3 linked regions of the Arabidopsis thaliana genome follow. The protein of the gene in region 2 interacts with the protein of the main gene of each other region in a biochemical or structural test. Each region holds a gene or a part of one and is shown on either strand. Other genes may lie near its edges. The genes, in order: AT3G21210, PPDK and AT4G01200.

Region 1 (7,280 bases), on a different chromosome or scaffold from region 2:
GTTCAGCTGCGGACAATCTTCATCGCAGGGCTTCCCGATGATGTAAAAGAGAGAGAGCTTTTGAATCTCTTGAGATGGTTGCCTGGTTACGAGGCTTCTCAGGTGAACTTCAAGGGAGAAAAGCCCATGGGGTTTGCTCTTTTCTCCACAGCTCAGTTTGCAATGGCAGCCAAAGATACCCTTCAGGTCTGTCTGCTTCTGATCATTGTTGACTCAGATCCTTTTTTGTCTTCACATTATGACATATGTTGTTCTTGGCATGCAGCATATGGTGTTTGATGCTGAGTCAAAGTCTGTGATACATACAGAGATGGCCAAGAAGAATCTTTTTGTTAAAAGAGGTTAGCTCTACCTTTATGACATAAAATGGCTGTATTTTATCTATCTTAAGCATTAGTCATGTTACTGAAGCATGTTTGATACAGTTTTGTGCATTTATACGGGGTCTCACTACACTCTCCCCTTTATCTAGTTTCTTACTTCCTTTGTTAATATCACAAACCATATATAACCTTTGAACTCAATCTTTATTCTGTAGGTATTGTTGGGGATTCAAATGCTTATGATCAAAGTAAGCGCCTACGAACTGGTGGTGACTGCACACACTCTGTGTATAGTCCATCTCCTTTCCATCCTCCACCTCCTCCTGTGTGGGGACCTCCTCATGGGTTAGGCATTTGCTTCTCCTTCATATTTCATATGCTGTGTAGAAATTGGACGATGTGTATTTGGTACACCGTTTTATGTTAAGTTGCTTATTTGACAAGAAGATAAATTGGTTCAGATATATGGCACCTGCACCTCCACCATATGATCCCTATGCAGGTTATCATGCTCCCCCTGTACCAATGCCTACGCCCCCACCTATAGCAGCTCCTAGTTCTTATGTGCCTGTCCAGGTGAAGTTGCACTGTTTTCATCATTTTATTTATCATATGGTGGTTGTGCAATTATATACCCGGAATCCATATTGTACTTGCCTCTCCTTGCCTAAAAATTACAATCTCGAACTTCATTCTAATTAGCTTACATGCTATACTCTCTGGTGGTTGTGTTGTGGAACAATAGTTGTTGCCTAATTTAAATGCATTGTCTACTGCTCTGAATTTGCTAAAGTTTCTGATTGTTTGATAAATTTTGTACCTAGTTTGATGAATATCTAGCCTAGGTTTGGTGATCTGATATATGTCTCATGTTGTTTTCAAATTTTTTTCAATTGCAGAATATTAAGGATAATCCACCTTGCAATACCCTATTTATTGGTAATCTTGGGGAGAATATAAACGAAGAAGAATTGAGGAGCCTGTTGAGTGCGTGAGTATCTGTTCCCTTTAGTGAGACTCCTGTCCATTGCTTTCCTTGAGATCTTGGCCTTTTTGTAGACCTGTGTTCTCAAGAATTCTGCGGTAAACTGTACTTTCATTTTGCAGGCAACCTGGTTTCAAACAAATGAAGATTCTGAGACAAGAAAGGCATACAGTTTGCTTTATTGAATTCGAGGTTAACTCTGAGACCTTCACCATCTGTGTATATGTGACAGAAAATATTCTTCTAGCATATTGTTAAATTCTTCTATCTGGACTTGCAGGATGTCAATAGTGCCACAAATGTTCACCATAATTTGCAAGGTGCTGTCATTCCAAGTTCTGGTTCAATTGGCATGAGGATCCAATATCCTTATATACTTTTACTCTTTCTGATTATTTAATATTCCAGTATGCCAAGTTCTTTTTTCTTTTCTGTTTGATTCTTCTTAACCCAATGATACATATTCAAAGAATCCATATGGGAAGAGAAAGGAAGGTGGCGGCTATTCTTTCTTTCCTTCTCCGAGTGCTAATGGAGCCCAAGGAGCCCTGACATATCAGTAGGCCTTGAAGGGGGACGTACTCTCTTCCTTATCTCCCAACAACTGCACGAATACGATGCATCTTCCAGGCAGTCTGCATTTCATCCATTTCCATTCTCGACATTTTTAAGCATCAGCATTGCTTTGTCATGTGTTGGGTGCATATAGTGTGACCTCATCAACATATAACATGTTTCAGTTTCTATTAGCTCTGCTACATGCATTCGCAGTGTGGTTTTTGATGATTGTTTGAATTATATAGGAGTTTGGTTTGCTATTTGTTTATCTTATTGCGGCTTTAATACATCACTTTGTGGGATTCATTTTCATCATTCTGATCGATTCATCCTAATGAAACGTTAGCTAGGAAAAAACATAACATTACATTAGATCATAACATGATAACATCCGGAGGCCTTCCATCAACTTCGTTTCACTGCATGGACACGGAATGTTGCTCTCATGATTGATTCATCCTAACGAAACTCCATTTGCTATGTTAGCTGATATACCATTACATTAGATCATAACATGATAACATCCAGAGGGGTTTGATCAACTTCGTTTCACTGCATAGACATGGAATATTACTCTCATGATCTATCACATCGGTTTCATTCTTCAGCATTTCCCATGTCGATCATTCTCTGTTCTTACTTAGGCTGATGAACAAGCACATCCGTTTTGTCAGAAGTTGACAGCTGATATAACATTTGAAGATAGGCATTCCATTACATTGTAGGTTTATTATAGTTGAGCAAACATATATACATTCCCAGCTCTGGCTTGGCCTTATGCAGGGACAATCCGTAAAGAGAAAGCCCAAGCTCTCGAATAGAGATGCGTTTCACCTACAAAGTTGAGGTAAGGTCATCTTCGGACGTCCAGGAACAGAGCCAGGAGTTCCTAAGAGCCTATCTTTTTACAATGGAGTCTACTTATCCAATCCAACTTATCTCTTTTCTAACTGATGTTTCTGTACGGCTTTGGGCTACTTGACTCTGGATGTGAAAACCAGAAGCGAATTTAGTGATTCTTCAAATGAGAAAGTTTCTCTTCCATTTTCAAGAACAATGTGTGTATAATTGGTCGCTTACTTATCAGATTTTGAGGTATAGGATCTCTAGGGCCTAGTTTCATGTTTTGTTTCTCTGAATTCGAACCATGGTAAATTTGCTGTAAAGAGAGGTAGGTAATATAATTAACCCAAGAGACAACCCAAGAAGAATCGATAAAGGAGTGTCTCAACTCTCAAGTAAGAAACATGTTTTCATTATTATGATTGGCGAGTCTCAAGCTTTCATCACTGTAGACAACAAAGAAAAAGATTTGTTGCACAAAAGGGTTTGTGCATTCCTTAGACCAACTTTCCAGAGAAGCAAAACATCTAAAACCACAAAACCATGGTCTTAAAAGAAAATTCTTAAACGTCAGGTGTGTCTGAGCGCAGAACTGTCAAGAAAAACAAGATAAAGAGTTGGGAGGTTAATAAAAAGAAGAAAAAAAATATAAAACGGAACTGAGAGGTAAAAGATTGAAACCCCTCTTCAAGTTGTTCAAGTAAAGATCATCAAGCAAAAGGTAGAGATGTCGATCAAATTGGTGGAACAAACGCACGGAGAGGGAGGAGAATCGTGAGTAACGTGCCTGGTTTCTGAGGCTTTCCATCGGACCATTTTGGAGAGGGAGAAGTGAACCTTGTCGCGATTGATTGTTTCAGCTTTGAATGGTTCTTTGAGACGGATATACGCCGTCCCCATACTCGTTCTCAGCCCATTTTAGGCCTTTCTGAATTAGGCCCAAATACGTTTACGTGTTTTTAGAGGAAAACTTTCAACGTGCATGTCAAAGACAAATTGTTTGTTTATTTTCTCATCAAGCAAGACAGAGACTACTATTTTGCTTTTTTTAAAAGAAAACGATGTAGCATTTTCCTTGTCGAGAAGCTAAGGAAACCTGACAAAAATGCAAGGGATAACAAACGCATTAACCAAAGTATAATTTTTTACAAGCAAAGAAACATTTGCACAAAACCCATAAATATAAACCTCATTATCCCATAATTAGCAATGCTGCATAACACATAATTTAAAAACCCTAAGAAAAAAATCGGAAGTTTGTGGAAGCAAGAAGAAGAAATGATGAATCCAGAATCCGATCATCCTTCATCTCCTCGTCAACGTAAGATTGGAATCGCCGTGGAGCTCTCTGAAGAAAGTGCCTTCACTGTTCGTTGGGCTGTTGATAACTACATCCGTCAGGGAGACGACATCATTATTCTACACGTCTCTCCAACCGCCGGTCTCTTTGGAGCCGATTGGGGATATTACCCTCTCCAAACTCAACCTCCTTACACCACCGCTTCTATTTTCTCCAAAGTAGCGGATCTCGGGAAGCCATTGAAGGAAGCTGGATTCCCTCACACGATTCATACAGTCAAAGATTACGATAAGAGAGAGAGGCTTTGTCTTGAGACTCAACGGCTCAATCTCACTGCTCTGATTATGGGATTTGGTGATGGCTCTGTTAGTGATTTCTGTGTTCACCACTGTGTTTGTCAAGTCGTTGTGGTTAGATACCCTGATGGTCCTGGCAGTGTTGAAGGTACTCGGGCAGCGCCTATTGTAACTTTCAAATCACGTACGGATGATGACGAAGAGATAGATAAGGCTAAGACTGCTCTGACTGCTTCTGTTCATCATCAACACATCAAAGGTTTCTTTCCTTGTGGTTTTCATATTTACTTGCAAAGCACTCTATCTATCCATCATAAAAAATTTCATGTCCTCCTTTTTTTTTTTTTTTTTCCGTCTTAGCCATGGATTCGGTGTCAAAGCAGCCTCTTCTCTTTTGCCCTCGTGCATATTTTACTAACAATGAAGAAGATTTTCGCGCGATGCAATTCCGAGAGCCACCAAATCTTTCATCTCCATCTTTTCACCTCACCTCCTTAGTTTTGGGCAACGACTTTAACATAACACGCAAATACTACTACGACAGACATGGCAAGGGCTTCATTAAAGGCCATAGACCTAACAAACAATGTGAAATATGCTCCAAGTCATTACTCGGTACCACGTTTTATTCCTGCACGTTATGTCTCCGTCCTTCATGTTCCCCTCTTCAATCTTCAGTATTATCACGCTCTTCAGGCTACTACCACGAAGCCTGTATCGAGCCGATATCAAAGCACCCATATCATCCTAAACATGCTCTCCGATTTCGTTATGAATCAGGTCAGATATGCTTATCTTGTTCAACTTTTAAGGATTTTGCTTACCATTGCTCTATATGCAATTTTACCATGTGTCAAGATTGTGCTAGAGAGCCACCACTCTTTGCAATAGACTATCCAAAAAGGCATGAGCATACACTCTTCTACTTTCAAAGGAAAGGCTCCTTGATTTGTGACGTTTGTGGGTTGAGTGATGGCAGGTCTTTGCTGTATTCCTGTGTCAAGTGTAATTTTGTAGTCCATAAAGAGTGTGTCTATTTTCCATGCATCATAAAAATATCACGTCATGAACATCGTCTCTCCTTCAATTCTTCACTTACTCCTGAACAATGGTTATGTGGAGTGTGTCGTGAAAGCATAGACACAAATTTTGCAAGATATTCTTGCGTAAAGGGTTGCAGTTTCGCGGTTCATTCTAAATGTGCAACGCGAAAAGATGTATGGGACGGAAAAGAACTTGAGGGAGAACCAGAAGAAGATGAATCTCTATATATTTTTAAGTCGTTCAATGAGATAAGTGATGGAATTATAGAATATTTTCGTCACAAAAGTCATCATATGAGACTGGACGAGGATACCAACAGAGCATTTGACGAGGATAAACGTTGTCGAGCATGCACGTTTCCTATCTGTGATGATCTTATTTACAGTTGCATGCAATGTGATTTTATCCTCCATCAAACATGTGCACATCTTCCTCCGAGGAAACAACATGCGACACATCCTCATCCCCTTCTTCTACTGGTGGATGAGGAACATGAAGATTATTTTCAATGCACTGCTTGTAAGCGTGAAAGCAATGGTTTTGCGTACACATGTTGTGCTAGGGATTGCAACTTCACATTAGACGTATCTTGCGCTTCTATAGCTGAGTCATTGATTCATCGGTTTCATCCGCATCCTATTTATTTAATACATGAATCCACAGCGCAAGAGTTCTGTTCGATTTGCGGACAACTCATAGGTCATCGTCTAAACTGTGGAGAATGTCGTTTTGCTTTGTGTTTTGGGTGCGCCACTTTACCCAATAAGTTGAGGTATAAGCATGATGAACATTTTCTCATATTTTCTTATGATGAAGACTTCAGTGGTTCACAAGAAAGTGGTCCGCATTTGTGTGAAGTTTGTGAAAAACAAGCAAATCCGAAGAATGGAGTTTATATGTGCAATGATTGTAACGTCACACTGCATGTTGAATGTCTTCTTGGAAAGGAGATGTATATGATGCCTATTGGAGGGCTCATTTCCCGTAACGTAAATGTTGATATTCTTCCCAATAATCGTCTCACTCGCAACATATGCCAACGTTGCCATAATCGTTGTCAAGGAAAAATAATCTTCAAAGCACGTGACAGATCAACATTTTTATGTTCTTTGTTTTGTTGTCTGACGAAGAGTTGGGTGGACAGAGACACATAGTCCAAACGAAACGATTATGGCAATAGAGTTATGAACATACTAGATCGTTGTCGGTAATAGAGTTATGGACAGCTTGCTTAAGACGTTGGTTTGAAATAGTAGAAAGCTAAAATGAAAATTTCCTTGATTACGTTATTACTTGTTCTTGTCTCTTTTGCTGAACATAGAGATATGTTGCTCTTTTCTATGTATCTATTTGCTTTCTCTTTCTCTTTGCTTCCTTCTCATAACTAATGTTTATTTGGGGCATATATATATGAACTTATATATAAAAAAAGATGACAAACATTACTTCAAGTAAACATATACTATTCCACGAGAGCCAATGCACAATTTTGGCATCAACTTGTAAATAAAGAATAATGGGGACAAGCAAAAAAAAGTCATTAGTATTGTTATTGTCCTCCTCCCTTGTGAGAATGAGATGATCCCACAACTTGCTTAAGTAGTTTGACCTTGTTGAAATCTGCAGGGCAATAGCTTTTCTCTACTTCCCAAGCGAGCTGTGACATTCCATTGAAGGATGATTTTGCTCCCTTTTCATCTGTTACTTCCATTGGAAATGGAATCCTCACATCATATACACCTCGTGGAGACCATACCCGAAGGTCGAATCCAAGCCTATCCATCCATATCATCTTTGTTTCTGAAACCTGGCATTAGTAGTAGTTTTGGTCTTGAGATTGGTAATCGACTGAACATGTTATCTTAGATTGAACATTCTTTGAAGTAGTTGCATAGCATGTTGAATAATACTAACCACAAAGTCTAGATCCA
Region 2 (10,039 bases):
GGCTGTGGCACTGCCTCTTTGAATGTTACTGTTGCAGCTTCTATTGTTTTGCATCACTTTGGAGGTATTTTTTTCTGTTTTTGTTCCCATTTTTTATATGCTGTTTAAGATTTGAAAACACTTAGATGGAAAGCAAGATTGTAGAGAATAATAACTCGGCACGAATTCTTAGTCATGTATAGACATTAAAGATAGATTGATAGTGTTGGTTGCTTAAGAATAGTATTGTTCTATTACAGTTTGGGCTGGATTTTCTGAACGTGTTCGGGATGGAAGCAAATTTATAGTGGCTGATAGACCCGTAAGACAAGGAAGACGAAATTTCTGCGCCGGCACAGAAGAATCCGTCATTGAAGAGCGGAAGTTGAGGAAAGAAAGTGCAGAAAATGGGTTTTTCGATGACAATGGAAATGAAAATGGAAGTTCATCATCCGACCTTTTGGACGGTTTGTTCCTTAACGAATAATTATCTTTTATAAAAGAACAAAGTCTTGATTTGGGTTCCAATCCTGGGAAACACATCCTTCAATATATATTATCAAGCAAGTTAGCTTACTCACGCTTGTTCATTCCCTAGTTACCGAATCTTTGTTTCGCAAGTTGAGAAAGCTTATGAATTAGGCTAAGTTGATTTTGATTATTTGATCTGCCTTTGGTATGATACTATGATTATGAACATGTTTGAAAATGATTCAGTTGATAGAATCTCATTACGCTGTCTTACATTGTCTTCCTCATGTATTCTGTTTAGAAACAATGGTTTTTATTTTATTAGCAATTCAATTATTACATGAAGGCTTTATATTCTACATTCTTTAGAAGGAAACAAAAATAGTTAAATCCAATATCTTTGATTTTGTTCATTTTTATGGAATAGAAACCAAAGCTTTTTTATTCACAGAATAACACCACCAAGTTTTTTCTTCATCATGCAACAACTACTTGAGCAGCTGCAAGCCTTGCAATTGGAACCCTGCAACAACAACAACAACAACAACAACAACAGAAATCCCAAAATTACATCAATCTGAGTTATACAATAGTGTTGTAAAAAAAGTGTTTATTGGTTTGGAAATTAATCAATTACCTGAAAGGAGAACAAGAGACATAGTCAAGTCCTGCTTCAGCAAAGAATCCCACAGAAGATGGATCTCCTCCATGTTCTCCACATATCCCAACCTTGAGGCTAGGCCTAGCTGCTCGTCCTTTTTCTGTCGCCATCTTGATCAATTGCCCTACACCTTGCTGATCAAGAACCTGGTCCAAACACAAAAAAATGGCTATCAAGATTTTATCCTATGGATAGAGAGCAAACGAAATGGTAGTCATTATACCTCAAAAGGGTCGTGCTGTAAGATTCCTTTGGCGAGGTAAATCGGTAGAAACTTGCCGACATCGTCTCTACTGTATCCAAACGTCATCTGCGTCAAGTCGTTTGTCCCGAACGAGAAAAACTCCGCCTCTTTCGCAATCTGTCAAAAGAAAAAGGTTCCTACTTAGCAAATAGCAACATGGTTTCAAGTGCCTAAAACACATTTTGTGTCTTGTTACATTTACCTCATCTGCAATGAGCGCGGCTCGAGGGATCTCAATCATTGTCCCAACCTTGTAGCTCACGGTATGACCCTTCTCAGCAAATACTTTCTTTGCAACTTTACGAATTACATCAACTTGGTGACCCAATTCCTGAGGAGTTCCTACAAGTGGAACCATAATCTCAGGAATGACAGTAACACCTTGGTCCTGCATTGACGCTGCAGCTTCAAAAATTGCACGCGCTTGCATCTCCGTTAGCTCTGGATACGATATTCCGAGCCTATAACGTACAAGTTTACCGATCATCAGATTGTTCTTCAGGTGCAAAGAGACAGAGAGAAACAAAGAGAGTAAGAAACCTGCAACCGCGGAAACCAAGCATTGGATTCACTTCAGAGAGTTTCTCTATCCGTGACAAGACTTCATCTTCTTTCACACCAGTTTCTTCAGCTAGCTCATGTACAATGTTGTCCAAGTCGCCTTCCGGGAGAAACTCGTGAAGCGGAGGGTCTAACAAACGGATTGTTACCGGTAAACCTAGAAAAATAAAAAGGTTTAGGCATGTTTTAAGTTGTGATACATTTTAGAGAGACGACTCAAAACATTTACCATCCATAGCACGGAAGATCCCTTCGAAATCCGAACGTTGGTAAGGAAGCAAGATGTCGAGAGAAGCTTTCCTTTGCTCTGTTGTTACCGCCATTATCATCTTTCTCACTGCTTTAATCCTATCTGCTCCAAAGAACTTAAAAACCAAACCAAAGACAACATTAAACATTTGGATACAAACAATCTAAATCATCAAAAACATGAAATCAAGTACAGAGGAGGAGTTACCATATGCTCTGTCCTACAAAGCCCGATTCCTTGAGCTCCGTTTTTCCTAGCTGCAATGGCGTCTTCAGGTGTATCCGCATTCGCCATAACCTTATCGGTCATCGAACATTTGAGTTAGAAAGTTTAAAAATATCAAACAAGTTAAAGGAACAGAAACTCATAAACACCTTGAGACGTCTGATTGCATCAGCCCAGGACATGAAAGTCTCCAAATCTGGACTTAAAGCCGGAGGAGCCAATGCTTGTTTCCCTAATATAACCTCACCGGTTGATCCGTTCATTGAGATCCATTCGCCTTCATTAATCGTCAAATCTCCAATCAATAGAACCTGAAAATTTTTAAACCCTAACTTTAGAAACAATCTTCCCCTAACTTATATGACAAGTTTCTAAAATCGAATCCAAAAACCTTGTGGTTCTCGTCGACACGAATCTCGGAACAACCAGCAATGCAACATTTTCCCCAACCGCGAGCAACAACAGCCGCGTGTGACGTCATTCCTCCTCTAGCCGTCAATATACCTTCCGCTGCGTGCATACCTCCCACATCGTCAGGGCTTGTCTCAGTTCGAACCAGAATCACAGTTTTACCCTGAGAATGCCAAGCTTCGGCTTCCTCCGCCGTGAACACAACCTGTCCAACCGCCGCTCCTGGTGACGCAGGTAAGCCTTTGGCCACCACTTTTTCACGATACCCCGATGGATCATGAAACTAATCCATCAATAAAAAAAAAAAAAAAAAACCTTCATTGACCTCTGAATCAAAATTTCCAAACCCTATTCATCGGTTACGTGTCAGACAATCATCTCTGCTTTTACTCCTAAACCCTAAACGTCTTAAACCCATTAGTTCTTGTTCAAGTGAACCAATCATTACCAGTAAGTTTCGAATTTTGGTTTCAACATCAAGTTTATGACTATGAAAAAAGAAGAAGATGAATATTTGAGTTTGTACCTGTGGGTGAAGTAGTTGATCAAGATGTTGAGGCTCCACCATTTTGATAGCAGAAGATTTCTCAACAAGCCCTTCACCTACCATATCAACTGCTATCTTCACGGCGCCTTTACCCGTTCGCTTACCCGCTCTGCATTGCAGCATCCACAATCTCTCTTCTTGTACTGTGAATTCAATATCCTGCAATACACATTTGAGATTTTGTTTAAATTACTAAAGAATTGTTGATGAGGACTAATTGAAGTATTGTTTATGTGTATCAACCATCATGTCTTTGTAATGTCTTTCTAAGATGTTGCAGTTCTCAACAAGTTCAGCGTAAGCCTCAGGCATAAATCTCTTCATTGTATCCAAATCTTCTGGTGTTCTTATCCCTGCAACCACATCCTCTCCCTGTCCCAAAACCAATATTTAATGAGTATGGGCTTACTTGTTGATATGAGATTCACACATTGTGATAGATGCCAAACCTGAGCATTAACTAGAAACTCGCCATAAAGCTTCTTCTCTCCTGTGCTAGGGTTCCTAGTGAAGAGAACACCAGTCCCTGAAGTGTCCCCCATGTTTCCAAACACCATACACTGAATGTTAACCGCGGTTCCTTTCAATCCAGTTATCTGGTTAATACTTCTGTACTTGTTCGCTCTCGGGCTATCCCAAGAATCGAATACCGCTTCAATCGCTAGCTCCAATTGCTTCTTTGGATCTGCAATTAACCCCGTTTAAACATTTGTAACTAATAACTAATTTTTATCACTTGACCTCAAGTAGGAATCAAAACAAACCTGAAGGAAACTCTTGACCCTTGGCCTCTAAGTAAACACTCTTGTACTGCTCAACCAATTCCTTGAGATCAGCCGCGCTTAAGTCAGTGTCATTTTTAACTCCTTTCCTCTCCTTCATTCTCTCTAACTTCTCTTCAAACTTGGCGTGTGGAATTCCCATCACCTTTTATTGATCAAGAAAACAATTATAAGGTAGGTCAAAGAATTTTCTTGTCATGCAAGTTACCTGAAATAGTATTGAAAAACAGAGGACTTACAACATCACCAAACATATCAAGAAAACGCCGGAACGAATCGTAAGCAAAACGCTCTCCGCTTTTTGCGGCCAGACCAACGACGACTTGGTCGTTCAAGCCAAGGTTAAGTACAGTGTCCATCATACCAGGCATTGAGATCTACAATGCAAAATATCGATCAAAGACAAGTCAATGTAGTTCTGTTTTAAAAATAGATAAACGAAAGATCTTCATTTTCTACGTTATAGTTTGAATACCAAAATCATTAGGTCTTTCAATAGCCACAAAACTTATTCATTTTCTATCTAGTACATTTTAAACTCTTCCAAAAACGGCCAAATGGCAAAATAACCAAAAAAATATTTGGATCTCAACTTCAATAAAAGAAATCTAACAAGTCAAAATCTGCGTCAAAAAATCTTCAAAAGATTAAAGAAAACATAGAAAGAAAAAAAAACAGAAATTTAACATTAGAAAAAATCCTTAAAATAAAAATAGTCAAGAAAAAAAGTTATAATTAACTTACGGCGGCGCCGGAGCGAACAGAGAGGAGGAGTGGCTTGGAGGGATCAGCGAGGGAAGCTCCAATGTCACGTTCGATGAAGCTAAGACCTTCTAAGATCTCTTCCCATAAACCTTCTGGAAGCTTTTTGCCGGCGATCTGATACTGCTGACAAGCCTCCGTCGATATGGTTAGCCCCGGCGGCACCGACAAGCCTATGCTAGCCATCTCCGCCAGGTTGGCTCCTTTCCCTCCCAACTTCATACACAACAACAATTAACATTTTTGATAAATGGTTCTTGAAAATAGCAAACACTAAATTATTAATGAATTGATATGATCATGATGATGGTATTGGTAACATACCAAGGACTTCATGCCCTTGTTGCCTTCGCTTCTTCCTTTTCCAAAGGTGAATACTCGCTGCATCATGGTTTTTTGTTTGTTTGTTTTGATTGAGGTTTAGATTGCAGAAATGTTTGTGCAAGTTTAAGAACACATATACGTATCTATATATATAGTAAAGCAAAAATTGGATAAAATAGATTCTGTCTAAAGCACAAAGATAAATTGATCAAATTTATCCATCCTAAATTTGACATGTCCATTATGTAAAAGCTAAATATAATGTTTATAATTTAAGCTAAAAATAAAATAAAATAAAAAATAATTATTATTATGATCATATGTACATCGAATAATTTTATAATATAAAAACTTGTATACAGTCGAAATTTCATATTTAATATAAATCATTTATAGTTTTGATGGATACGTCATCAAAAATACATTATTATCTTATCAAGAGATCATTCCAAAATTCCAACCTCGAAATGCTAAATTGTAATATAATTGACCAAAATTAAAGAAGTTTCGTTGCGATGACTCGTCATAGATGTGTCAACCATATCTGATCTCACTCACACACTTGCTATCTGCCACTACCGATGCTATTTTCCTTTTTAACAAAACTTTTACTTAACCAAAACAATAGCAAACAAATGTCATCAAATTCAACCAGTTCTTGTCATACCATCTCTAATACATGAATTCTTTATGGTGAAGGTGAATTGTGGATTTAAACTAGTATCATAATTTTTGTGTTTTACGCCAAGAATTTGATTGCCGTTTGGACATATTCACGTATTCTTTGGCACAATAACAAAACGTGGCATTGGTGGATCTACCAAGTGGCACAAGAGTCTGACTTAAGCAGCAAAGTGGTCTTTGAATACATTAAAGTTGTTTCTACGAAAAGTAGGGCTAATGAATCTAGAGGAAAAGTTTTTTTTTATTACAAATTTCGAAAATACTTGAATTTAAATAAGTTCATGTTTCCACAATAATTTAATTCAAAATAGTACTTTCATAATTTAGGCCAGACGCTATTTGGTATTACTACCGAAATGATCTCACATCACATGTGTGTATTAGTTTGAACCGTTCGATTGTTTAAACAAGAGTAACGAAACCAATCAACATCAAATAATTAATCGTCTCACAAGATCACAAAGCAAATGTCACAATGGCGTAACCTGTTTTGTATTCTATAACCGGTAGGGTTATAACCGATAATAATTGAGCTGCTAGATGGTTCGACCCAATGATCGGTGATAGTTTCTCTCAAGAATCTCACGTCAGAATCATAAAACAAAACGTAATAAAAAAGTGTATAAAATTTTATGGTGAAAATACACCAGAATGATTGAAATGGAAAGGCTTACCTTTTGGGCTATGGAAGCGGCCGGATCGGACACAGGGCTAAGTATGGCTCGAGCCTTCGTCTCACGATGCAAACCGGTCTTTGCTATGCTTAACCGTTGGCAATGGATTGTACCGGTTCTAGGGAAACGGTTTGATCCATCACCTAGCCGGTTTGATCGACTAACCATTCGGTTTTCTCCGAGATGATCCGTACGGAACACTCCATTTCCTTTGAAGAGCTCCGGCGTTGTCTTCACGATCATACTTGTCATTTTCTTTCTTATATAAAGCATAAACCACTTAAATAAATATAATATACTTACTTTTAAGAGTTGTATATAAAAATAAAGAAGTTGAGAGAAAGGAGTGTATAAAATAAAAATATATATAGCTTACGTGATATGGAAATTGGTGTTTGATGGTTAGCTATTTGCGAGAGTAGAAATGGCGGTTCTATAAATTTCTTCTCTGATCCTAATTTATTTGATTTTTGTTGGTTCTTATTAGTTACGTAGACTTTATGTGATCTATTTTTTTATTTATATTTTATGTATTTTTGGAGGTTTATAGATTTTGGTTTGACGAGTGACGTGAGTGGATGAAAGATAGATGTGGTTATGATTGGCTAATGTGTCCATTCCACGGTTGTTCTTTTTCCTTTGAACGACCATATAAGTGGCTACCATTAAAATTGATCTCTAGAAGTTGTTAGGTTTTGAATAAGAATCAGTTTCCAAAATTATGAGGTCATATGTATATAGTTTTATTTTCAAATAGTAAAAAACTTTTTCTTAAGTTCAACTCCATCTTATTGGTAAAATGATGTTGCTTGGTTTGTTTTCCACATGTTAAGATATTAAGGAAATAAAGGAGATTGATGGAGTAGGAACCTAAAAGTATTTGTGGTTCTGCTCGGTGTGAATATGACTAGCCAGGTTCCAGGAGAGGGATGTGGTATACAATTTAACTATATATTTACAAAAATTTGTTTGTATACTGTTGCATACATTTTTATATATCATTTTGTTAAGTTATTAAAAGAATGTTGAAGAGAAAAAAGAAGAAGATAATGAATGCATTTTTTCTTAATCTATTGATTAAGTTTATAATATTAACTTAGCGATACATGCTTATAATAATTTATACAATTACATCTAAACTGTTAAGACTTTTGGGGGGGGGGGGTAAATCATACTAAAGTTTAATTGGGGCTTAATTAGTTTAAAATGGTTTAAAAAATTCAATCGCTCATTTGATTACTAATCGGACAAAGGAATTCACGAAGCAAGCATGAATATTATATAACTTGAGACCATTTTTTCAAAAATTTGTAACATTTATGGAAATGCACGCATGGCAGTAAAAAAAAAAGCATTCAAAGAATGAAAAGAGAGGGCTTAGAACTTCCGAAGAATCTGGAAGTGTCATATACATTGATGCTCGAGTTAACTAAGGGACCCAAATGTTATGGGAGTGTGTGGCTATGTGCCATGCTCTGTTGAACTTTCTGGTGATGTTTTTGGTTAGAGTATAACTATTAGATAACTCCAAAGACTCATAAATTGTGGCAATTACGTGGAAGATGTGAGCCAACGCTTGCGTGCCAGACTGCCGGTCCAATGTTTTGCAATACCATCATTTAGGTGATGATAATTGATAAATGATAATTAGGTGAGATAACCATCATTTGATCAAATATATGATAAAATGAAGTGAATGACTATTAAATTTAATGGAAGAAAATATATTTTTAATAATTAAGTCTTTTTCAGTGTTTTTCTAAAAATTGGTATATCTTCAAAGTATTTGTTTTTTCAAATTTTTACAACCAATGGTTCAATTTTCTTACAAATTATTTAAAACATATATAAATATTTATATTTGCATATGTTTTTTTGACATTTTTAGAGATTAATATTTCAGGATATTTTTGACCCACTCAATTCAATTATCTTAGAAAGTTAAACGAGTGTTTTTTTTATCACTGTTTAATGTTTATACAGAAAAGGTTTTTTCTAATTAAAATAAATTATTAGTCCATCTGTTCTCCATTATGTAACATGATTAAGAAGTAATTTTTTCTCATTCATTAGATTTTTTTGTTTCCAAGTTTCTATGCTTTATTTAATTCAATTTGATGTTTTATGATTCCTAATATTCTGCATTATTTTTTCTTATTGGTTGAATTATTTCTAGTTGATATAAATGATTTTCTTAATGAAATATATATAACTATGTAATTCTTAAATGTTGTGCTTTCAAGTAGAAAATCTCATATTAAAATTGAGGAACTTTTAGATTTTTGGGGATAATGTAGACGTTTTGTGTATATTTTTTTGAACCATTTTTATTATTTTAATGGAAAAAAAAAACACAGATTTCAAACACTCGAGAGTCAAGAGTCTCAGACCCACCCAGCTTCTGGTTTCGTTTCGCCGTCGCGCACGGCTGAACATATCTGCTATATCGGAGATTAGTGAAGGTTAATGCTAATATATTGGATGATACTGAAAATCGAAGCTTTAGTCTAATTTTTGTACTCCAATTGCTTCAGGTTAGTTACTATTGATTAAAGGTTTCATAATTTGGGGCTAATCTCTCTGCAAGGTGACGAGAAAATCCACTATCCCCTTCCCAAGATTTGTTCTCTGAAGATATAAAGTCTCAATCTTTGGATAAGAAAGTTCAAATGGAAAATTGGAAACTTTTCTTCAGTTGAATGAATGATTTAGCTGAAGAAACCAAAGCTAGAATGGGGCAAAGTTCATTGTCATGGGGTCCCTAGAATATTCGAATCTATGATCCTTTTGGTGTAAAGTATTAGTCAAGTTGAGAGATATTTTTTACATTTTGTGGTCACTAATCATGTATTGGAGTTGATTGCTTCTAAACTCACTTTAACTTGTGAGAGAGTTTCTAAGATATCAAATAATCTATCATGAGAGAAGAGACAGTTTCTTGGAAGTACTTTAAAAGAGATGTTGTTCCGTTCACTGCGATGATCGCTATAGAGTGTACAACGGTTGGATCCAGCATACTGTATAAAGCTGCTACCTTGAGAGGATTTAGCTTTTATGTCTTTGTGTTTTACGCTTATGTTGGTGCTACACTTGTCCTTCTTCTACTTTCACTTATCTTTGGAAGGTACTTGATCTTCTCGAAGCAACTATGACTCTTGCTAAGTTTTAAAGAATATGAAACTTACTTGTTGTTGAATATGCAGGTCGAGAAGTTTGCCTACAGCCAAGTCTTCTCTTTTCTTCAAGATTTTCTTACTTGCGCTTCTCGGGTAATTATATCTTCATGTTTCTAGATTTATGAGCATTTTCGGGTTGTTTATCGCTAACTTGGGGGTGAATAACAGGCTCACGTCGCGGGTAGCTGGTTGTAAAGGTATAGAATATAGTTCCCCAACTCTTTCCTCTGCTATCAGCAATCTTACACCAGCTTTCACCTTCATCCTTGCCATCTTCTTCAGGTTCCA
Region 3 (5,667 bases), 8.4 Mb from region 2:
GTAAAGCCCAAATAGAAATGGCTTTGTTTTGTTTAGTATAAAAGTTGTTAGGTTAAGGATAATAAGATATTAAATATGTTGTAATGTTGTAACAGAAGAATTATTTAGAGATTAAGGAGAAAAACGTTGAACTGGCTAAACCTAATCTCTAAGAGATCTAAAGAGAGTAACAATGTAGACATACAAGACTAATCTCTGTAAGTGTTCTAAATGCTGCTTTGTGATTAACAAAACAAAGTAAACAGAGATATATATGTTCCAACTGAAAGTTTTAATTAAAGGGTTGACTTGGTTTGATTGGTTTTTTCTTTTGTGTTGAACCAAGAACAATGTTGGGTTTTTTTTATTTTGGGTTTTGTCTTTTTCTGTATTTTATATTTTTGATATATGTGTATTAATAGTTCATGTTTTTCTCTACATTTTGTTGATCGATCAACAATGAAGTCAGAAAAGAGAGGATTTTTTGGACAACAAACACCAACACCAACTTGGGTCGTAAGAAGTGTACCTCTTAACACTCTAATAATTCCACTTGGAAATCAAAAATAACAAACAACTCAATATTTCGAAGAGAGATCATCGTCGTGAGGTAGGAAGATGTTGGAGACAAAGTCTTGGAATCTAGAAGAGTAGATCTTAGGATGGACGGTTGAGATTGAGTTTGAGTTATATTGAATGGATTTGTAACAATGTTCTATGCGTTTCTTCATACCATAGTCTTGAAATGTGTCTACTATCCCTATATACAAAACAACATTGTACCATTCTTCTTCTCCGGTTTCTCTCGTCACTCGCCGTGCCCTCGCTGGAATCTTCATCCCAAAATTGATATTTGAGCTGAAACAAGAAAAGTTAGATATATATATATATTTTTTTTGATGTGAAATTTCTAGCAATGTTGTTATATAGGAGTAGGATAATGCTTTACCTATTGTGAAAGAGGTCACTGAGTGTTGTGGCTAATATATTTGTTTCTGAGCTTGCGCTATTGCTTGTCACTGATTGTATAGTCATTGACATTTCGTTTTCGACTGAATCTGTTAGTAAGACAATAAGTTTATAAAAATTGTAATTTTTGTTAAGTACTATGATTAATTAGATTAAAAAGTTACATTGTTACCTCTATCGGGAGAGCATGAATACATTGCTACAGAAGATCTATCAGGAGAACTAGAAGCCGTCTTCATCGACTTTGTGCTATTGCTTTTGAACGAGCCTGAAAAATTTAATCGGTAGACATTTATGTTGAAGACTTGGTATATAAGAACATAAAACAAAAGAATGAAGAATGTTGGTAAGGATTTTTTACTTGGAGGTGCGAAGCTACCGTAAACCGGGTTCAATCCATCAAGTGAACCTGTTAAGAGTGATTTATTATTATGATCAGAAAAGTTCAAAGTCGATATGCAAATAGTTGCACTCCTAAGAAGAGAGAAGAAACATTACCTTGACATGAGCCTTTAGATTGTAAACCAACCAATAAGCTATAATCCATTATACCTTCTTCTTCCAAAAGCTCGCAATCTAGCTTTGTTTGCCTGTAATGAGATGACCCCTTTTGTGTTTAATAAATTGTTGAGTAACTAGAATCAAGATGGTAGAAAGAAAGAGGGGTGGGGGTGGGATAGTACTTGATGATGCGTTGTCTCGCCAAAGGATCAACGTAGAAACAGAAATCGAAATCGATGTCCTTCAAAACAGTGGTGTTTCTCACTTCAATTTTCTTGTTAGATCGACCTTTCGGAGAACCTTTAAGATCATAGAGCTTGTTCACAAAGATCGTTGAATGTAGCATGTTTGACATCACAGCAAAATATGTCTGTATCCCCAAAAAAGTAACTAATTAGTGGCTGATCAAACTCTAATAATGGAGTGGTATATATATATAATCCTTGTCACCTTAACACCTCCAAGAGGCTTCACAGAATGAGCACCAAAAATCCTTGTGAATAGTGATGATCTGTGATAATTAATATGTCTGTAGTAACGTGGAAGCATCTCTAGTGTCACCTTCACAAGATTGTTTTCAATGAAAGACTCAATATGGAACATATATACACACTTGAAAAAATTAAAAGTAGATTGTGTTAAGATGATTTTGGGGTACCTTAATTTCGGATTTTCGAAGAATCTTGATGAGAAAACGGTTATCATTGGAAATATGAAAGACATTTCCAATTTTCCCAGAAGAAATCTTCTTGAGAGTCTCATCAGTGCAAATGGATAGCAAGTAATCATCATGATCTATACCCTCAAGTTCTTGAATAAGTCTACAAACAACAACAAAAAAAACATTACAAAAACCAATTCTCTTCTTTTTTTTACCTTAAAACATGAAACTATGTTATTACGTACGTACCCGAAACCAACGGGACAGTAATCCTTCCAATCAAACTCAGTGATTGAGCCAGGTGGCAAGTGTTTAATGTGTTTTGTAGAGTATCGAATTCGATTCTCCACCGTGGCTCTCAGCTCCATGGCTGTTATCAATCTCGTAAACTTTGCCATAATTTAAACCCTAAATAGATCATAGCAAAATCATAAATTTATGAACTTAATAAAAAACCTTAAAACTAAAAATTTGATTGCTCTACGTATATGAAGATTTACCTGTTTTCGTACAAGCTGCAATTTCTGATAAAGAGGAAGGCACAAACAGAGAAGATGAAGAAGACAAGAGAGAGTGATTGATTTTTTTATAAAAGATGATGATTTTGTTATTTCTGGTAGGACGTAATTAGTGGTTTTAACTAATCCAGCCGTTAAACTAACAATTATCTCCTCAAAACTTCATAAACGACTTCCCGCGTTTTTTTTTTTTTCACTTTTTACATAATTTTTACTACACTTTTTTTCTGTGATCTACGAATTATTACTATTTCATATCAAAAAGATTTTTTAATTGTTCAAAAACGAAACAACAATTATTGAATATAATGTTTTGAGCAACTAGAACTAAAGAAATTCCAAACTGTTTGTTAACTAACACTCATAACCGCCAAAACTGCCTAAACGACGACGTAAGGGATAAGGAGACCTGAACCGTTGACAGAGATGCACGTGACGAAGATCGATGGTTTAGAAAACCAAAGGAACATCTGAACCGTTGGAAATTCAAGACAACAGATCTCAGCCGTCCGTCATTTTTCTTCTTGGTGGTAACATGCCCGACGATTTCATCAAGAAACAGCACATCAATCCTCCGCCGTCCGATGACGATCGCACGTGATTCTTTCCCGCCAAATTTCGAACAGCGTTCCAGTCTCTGAGAGGAGACGGCATCGGAGAAGACGCCGTCGAGTCAGTACCGTCGTCGGAGAAATTAACCGATCCGCAAACCGAATTCTCTTTCGAACTCTCACCGTCGTCAGCGGAACCGTTCTCCGACGAACTAACCGCAGATCTAGACTTTCTCATTTTCCGACTCCGACGGATCTCTTGAACCGACTTGAAGAAATCAGCTGGAAGTTCAGAAGCATCCATCACCATAGCCGCGATGTTAAGAACGCCGTGAAACTTTCCAGAAGGACGACGGATCTGAAGCGCGACGAGAGATGGAACTTTCACGGCGGCGGTTGGGAGGAAGTTACTCACGAGGAAGCGAACAGTTCCGATCAGATGATCTCGCAAGTAACCAACGGCGTAGATCTCGATTGAAACACCAGAAGTTTCGCTAGATAGAAACTCCGGCGATACCTGGAAAACGAATTTGTCGTTCCAGATCGGATTCTCAGAGCCGATCCGATCAATTCGAGTCCGGAGTTTGCTGGAAGAATCAACCCAGACGGATGCGTAAGTCTGCAATCGCCGGAGCTTTCCCGTCGGTTCTTTAAGTCCTTGCGCAGAGATGAGATTGATCTCAAGAACTTGCGTCTCCTCCATCTTCTCTCTTTCTTTGTTGTTCACAGTGAAGCTCCACCGCCGGAGAATTTAAGCCGTCGGTTAAATCGAAGAGAGGTGAGAAGAGAGAGGGAGAGTGAATGAATGAGACTTGAGACCTTTTATACAGTAATCTTTCCAAAAACAATGAATGAAACAAATTAGTGACCTAACAAAAAAAGAAGCAATTTTAATTTGTTTTCTTTTATGCGTCTACTACATTTAACAAAGTGGAATTTCCGGTAACAGTTTCGTTCTCAGGCGGTGGTTTTACATATTTTCCGATCACTTTCTGACGACCACTTCTACTTCTCATTCTACTCAGCTTATCTCGACTCTTCTTCTTCTTCTCCTCTTTCTCTAAATTCTTCTTTTGCTTCTCTTTCTCTAATGTACCGCGCCACACGATCTCGCCAGTCCATGGCCATAGCCAGTGACCCACACGACGGTCTGAGTCGGCTTCTTCAGCTAGATCTTCGTCCATTGTTTTCAGAGTTGTGTAATCGAACCACTTCACCCACATTTTCCCTCGCCGGTTCTTCTGTTTGTGTTGCTCTTGCATCAAACCAGTCTCAGGATCTATGTAGACAATGCGTCTTGCACTGTGGTAAGCCCATACGTTCACCAGAAGCTCTAGTACCCGCGAATAGCAATGCTTGTCCTGTGAGAAATTGAACACATAAATCCAAACCCAAGTGGACTGATCTGATTTAGATCTAAAAACACATGAACTTTCGCAGATGAAGGAATGAGTTTCTTACTTTGGTTAAACTCAGATAGCAACGGTTTGTTCGATGATGCTCTTCATATATCTGTGCATCTAGTGAATCCACAAACATCCTACAAACAGATGGGAAAACACACTCTTAAGCACTCTTCTTTCTCCAAAGAGGCTAAGACTGAGACAATCAATGGGTAATGTGGTAAACAAGTACCTTGAGAACATGACAAACTCTAAGAAGGATCTTGTTGGCAATGCCCAGCTCTGCATCACAGACCATGTATCCCCATCCTCGGGCATTGGTGGCAATGAGTCCAAGTTCTTGATACTGTACATTTTCTTCAAAGTTTCGTTGTAAGCAAACCTTGATCCAAGCCCATAAATTGCAAAGAGTCAGGTAAATGACCAAAGTCTCAAACATTATTATAAAATTATGATTTAAAATCTCTAGTGTTTCTACCTGCAATTCCCAGCATTTATGGCATCACAGAACGACCAAAAGGGTTTCTGCAGAGGATTTCTGGGATCTTTGTCCATGCGAACCCAAAAATATAAGGCATCTCCGTGTTTTCGTGTTTGTATAGCATTAAGTAATGCGTCTTCAGCAATCTTGGATAAAGATTCCTGTTTCAAAGTCCCACATTACATCACAGGGTAATTTTAGCATTCTACTATACAAAGGATGAAGGATTTTATAAGAAAAAGTTGTTTACCTTCCTGGCAGTCGCTCTCCAGGACTGAAACCCAATCCATGAATTCTTGTGTAACCGATCAATCTTGTTTGAGATTGCAAAAAAAGCTCCAAAGTCACCAAGAGCATCGCGATAGTACGGATTGTTGAAAAGCGGAAGACGTGATGATGCATCGACATCATCCATCCTAGGTCTACGTCCTTTAACTGACTGCAATATGATACATTCAAATCAGTTGAGAACAATTTCTCTCCTTTGGACCATCTTATGGTTGCAAAAACACTATATTGCACATGGAAACTCACCAGGCCAACCCCACGATAGAGGGGATCTTGATGTAGAAACGACCAGGTTCCTTCACCAAAATAGGGTTCA

The links.
Region 1: of the proteins of PPDK (region 2) and AT3G21210, one has a biochemical effect on the other in vitro, tested with the Arabidopsis thaliana proteins (one study listed by BioGRID).
Region 3: of the proteins of PPDK (region 2) and AT4G01200, one has a biochemical effect on the other in vitro, tested with the Arabidopsis thaliana proteins (one study listed by BioGRID).

What each region holds. Positions count from the first base shown.
Region 1 is NC_003074.8:7,437,464-7,444,743, reverse strand, and holds AT3G21210 (zinc ion binding protein), read left to right. Parts: upstream 1-3,917; 5' UTR 3,918-3,987; coding exon 3,988-4,564; intron 4,565-4,665; coding exon 4,666-6,503; 3' UTR 6,504-6,780; downstream 6,781-7,280. Other genes in the region: AT3G21215 (RNA-binding (RRM/RBD/RNP motifs) family protein), read left to right, coding at 7-186, 266-341, 539-668, 785-899, 1,223-1,314, 1,431-1,500, 1,589-1,671, 1,769-1,871; PGR7 (proton gradient regulation 7), read right to left, coding at 6,899-7,156, 7,264-7,280.
Region 2 is NC_003075.7:8,863,901-8,873,939, forward strand, and holds PPDK (pyruvate orthophosphate dikinase), read right to left. Parts: upstream 6,972-10,039; 5' UTR 6,849-6,971; coding exon 6,576-6,848; exon of another isoform or gene 6,387-6,575; intron 5,420-6,386; exon of another isoform or gene 5,284-5,419; coding exon of another isoform or gene 5,275-5,283; coding exon 5,218-5,274; intron 5,110-5,217; coding exon 4,876-5,109; intron 4,509-4,875; coding exon 4,371-4,508; intron 4,277-4,370; coding exon 4,114-4,276; intron 4,035-4,113; coding exon 3,799-4,034; intron 3,722-3,798; coding exon 3,593-3,721; intron 3,509-3,592; coding exon 3,329-3,508; intron 3,086-3,328; coding exon 2,783-3,085; intron 2,703-2,782; coding exon 2,541-2,702; intron 2,464-2,540; coding exon 2,374-2,463; intron 2,282-2,373; coding exon 2,146-2,281; intron 2,074-2,145; coding exon 1,896-2,073; intron 1,817-1,895; coding exon 1,558-1,816; intron 1,473-1,557; coding exon 1,335-1,472; intron 1,258-1,334; coding exon 1,088-1,257; intron 974-1,087; coding exon 928-973; downstream 1-927. Other genes in the region: AT4G15520 (tRNA/rRNA methyltransferase (SpoU) family protein), read left to right, coding at 1-64, 240-466; UMAMIT38 (EamA-like transporter family), read left to right, coding at 9,494-9,699, 9,779-9,844, 9,920-10,033. UniProt on the Arabidopsis thaliana protein: Formation of phosphoenolpyruvate. May be involved in regulating the flux of carbon into starch and fatty acids of seeds and in the remobilization of nitrogen reserves in senescing leaves.
Region 3 is NC_003075.7:503,654-509,320, forward strand, and holds AT4G01200 (Calcium-dependent lipid-binding (CaLB domain) family protein), read right to left. Parts: upstream 3,974-5,667; 5' UTR 3,883-3,973; coding exon 3,130-3,882; 3' UTR 2,858-3,129; downstream 1-2,857. Other genes in the region: PIPK10 (phosphatidylinositol phosphate kinase 10), read right to left, coding at 558-837, 929-1,037, 1,121-1,216, 1,310-1,357, 1,447-1,538, 1,632-1,819, 1,900-2,010, 2,108-2,270 and 1 more; AT4G01210 (glycosyl transferase family 1 protein), read right to left, coding at 4,085-4,540, 4,641-4,719, 4,815-4,964, 5,061-5,224, 5,314-5,502, 5,598-5,667.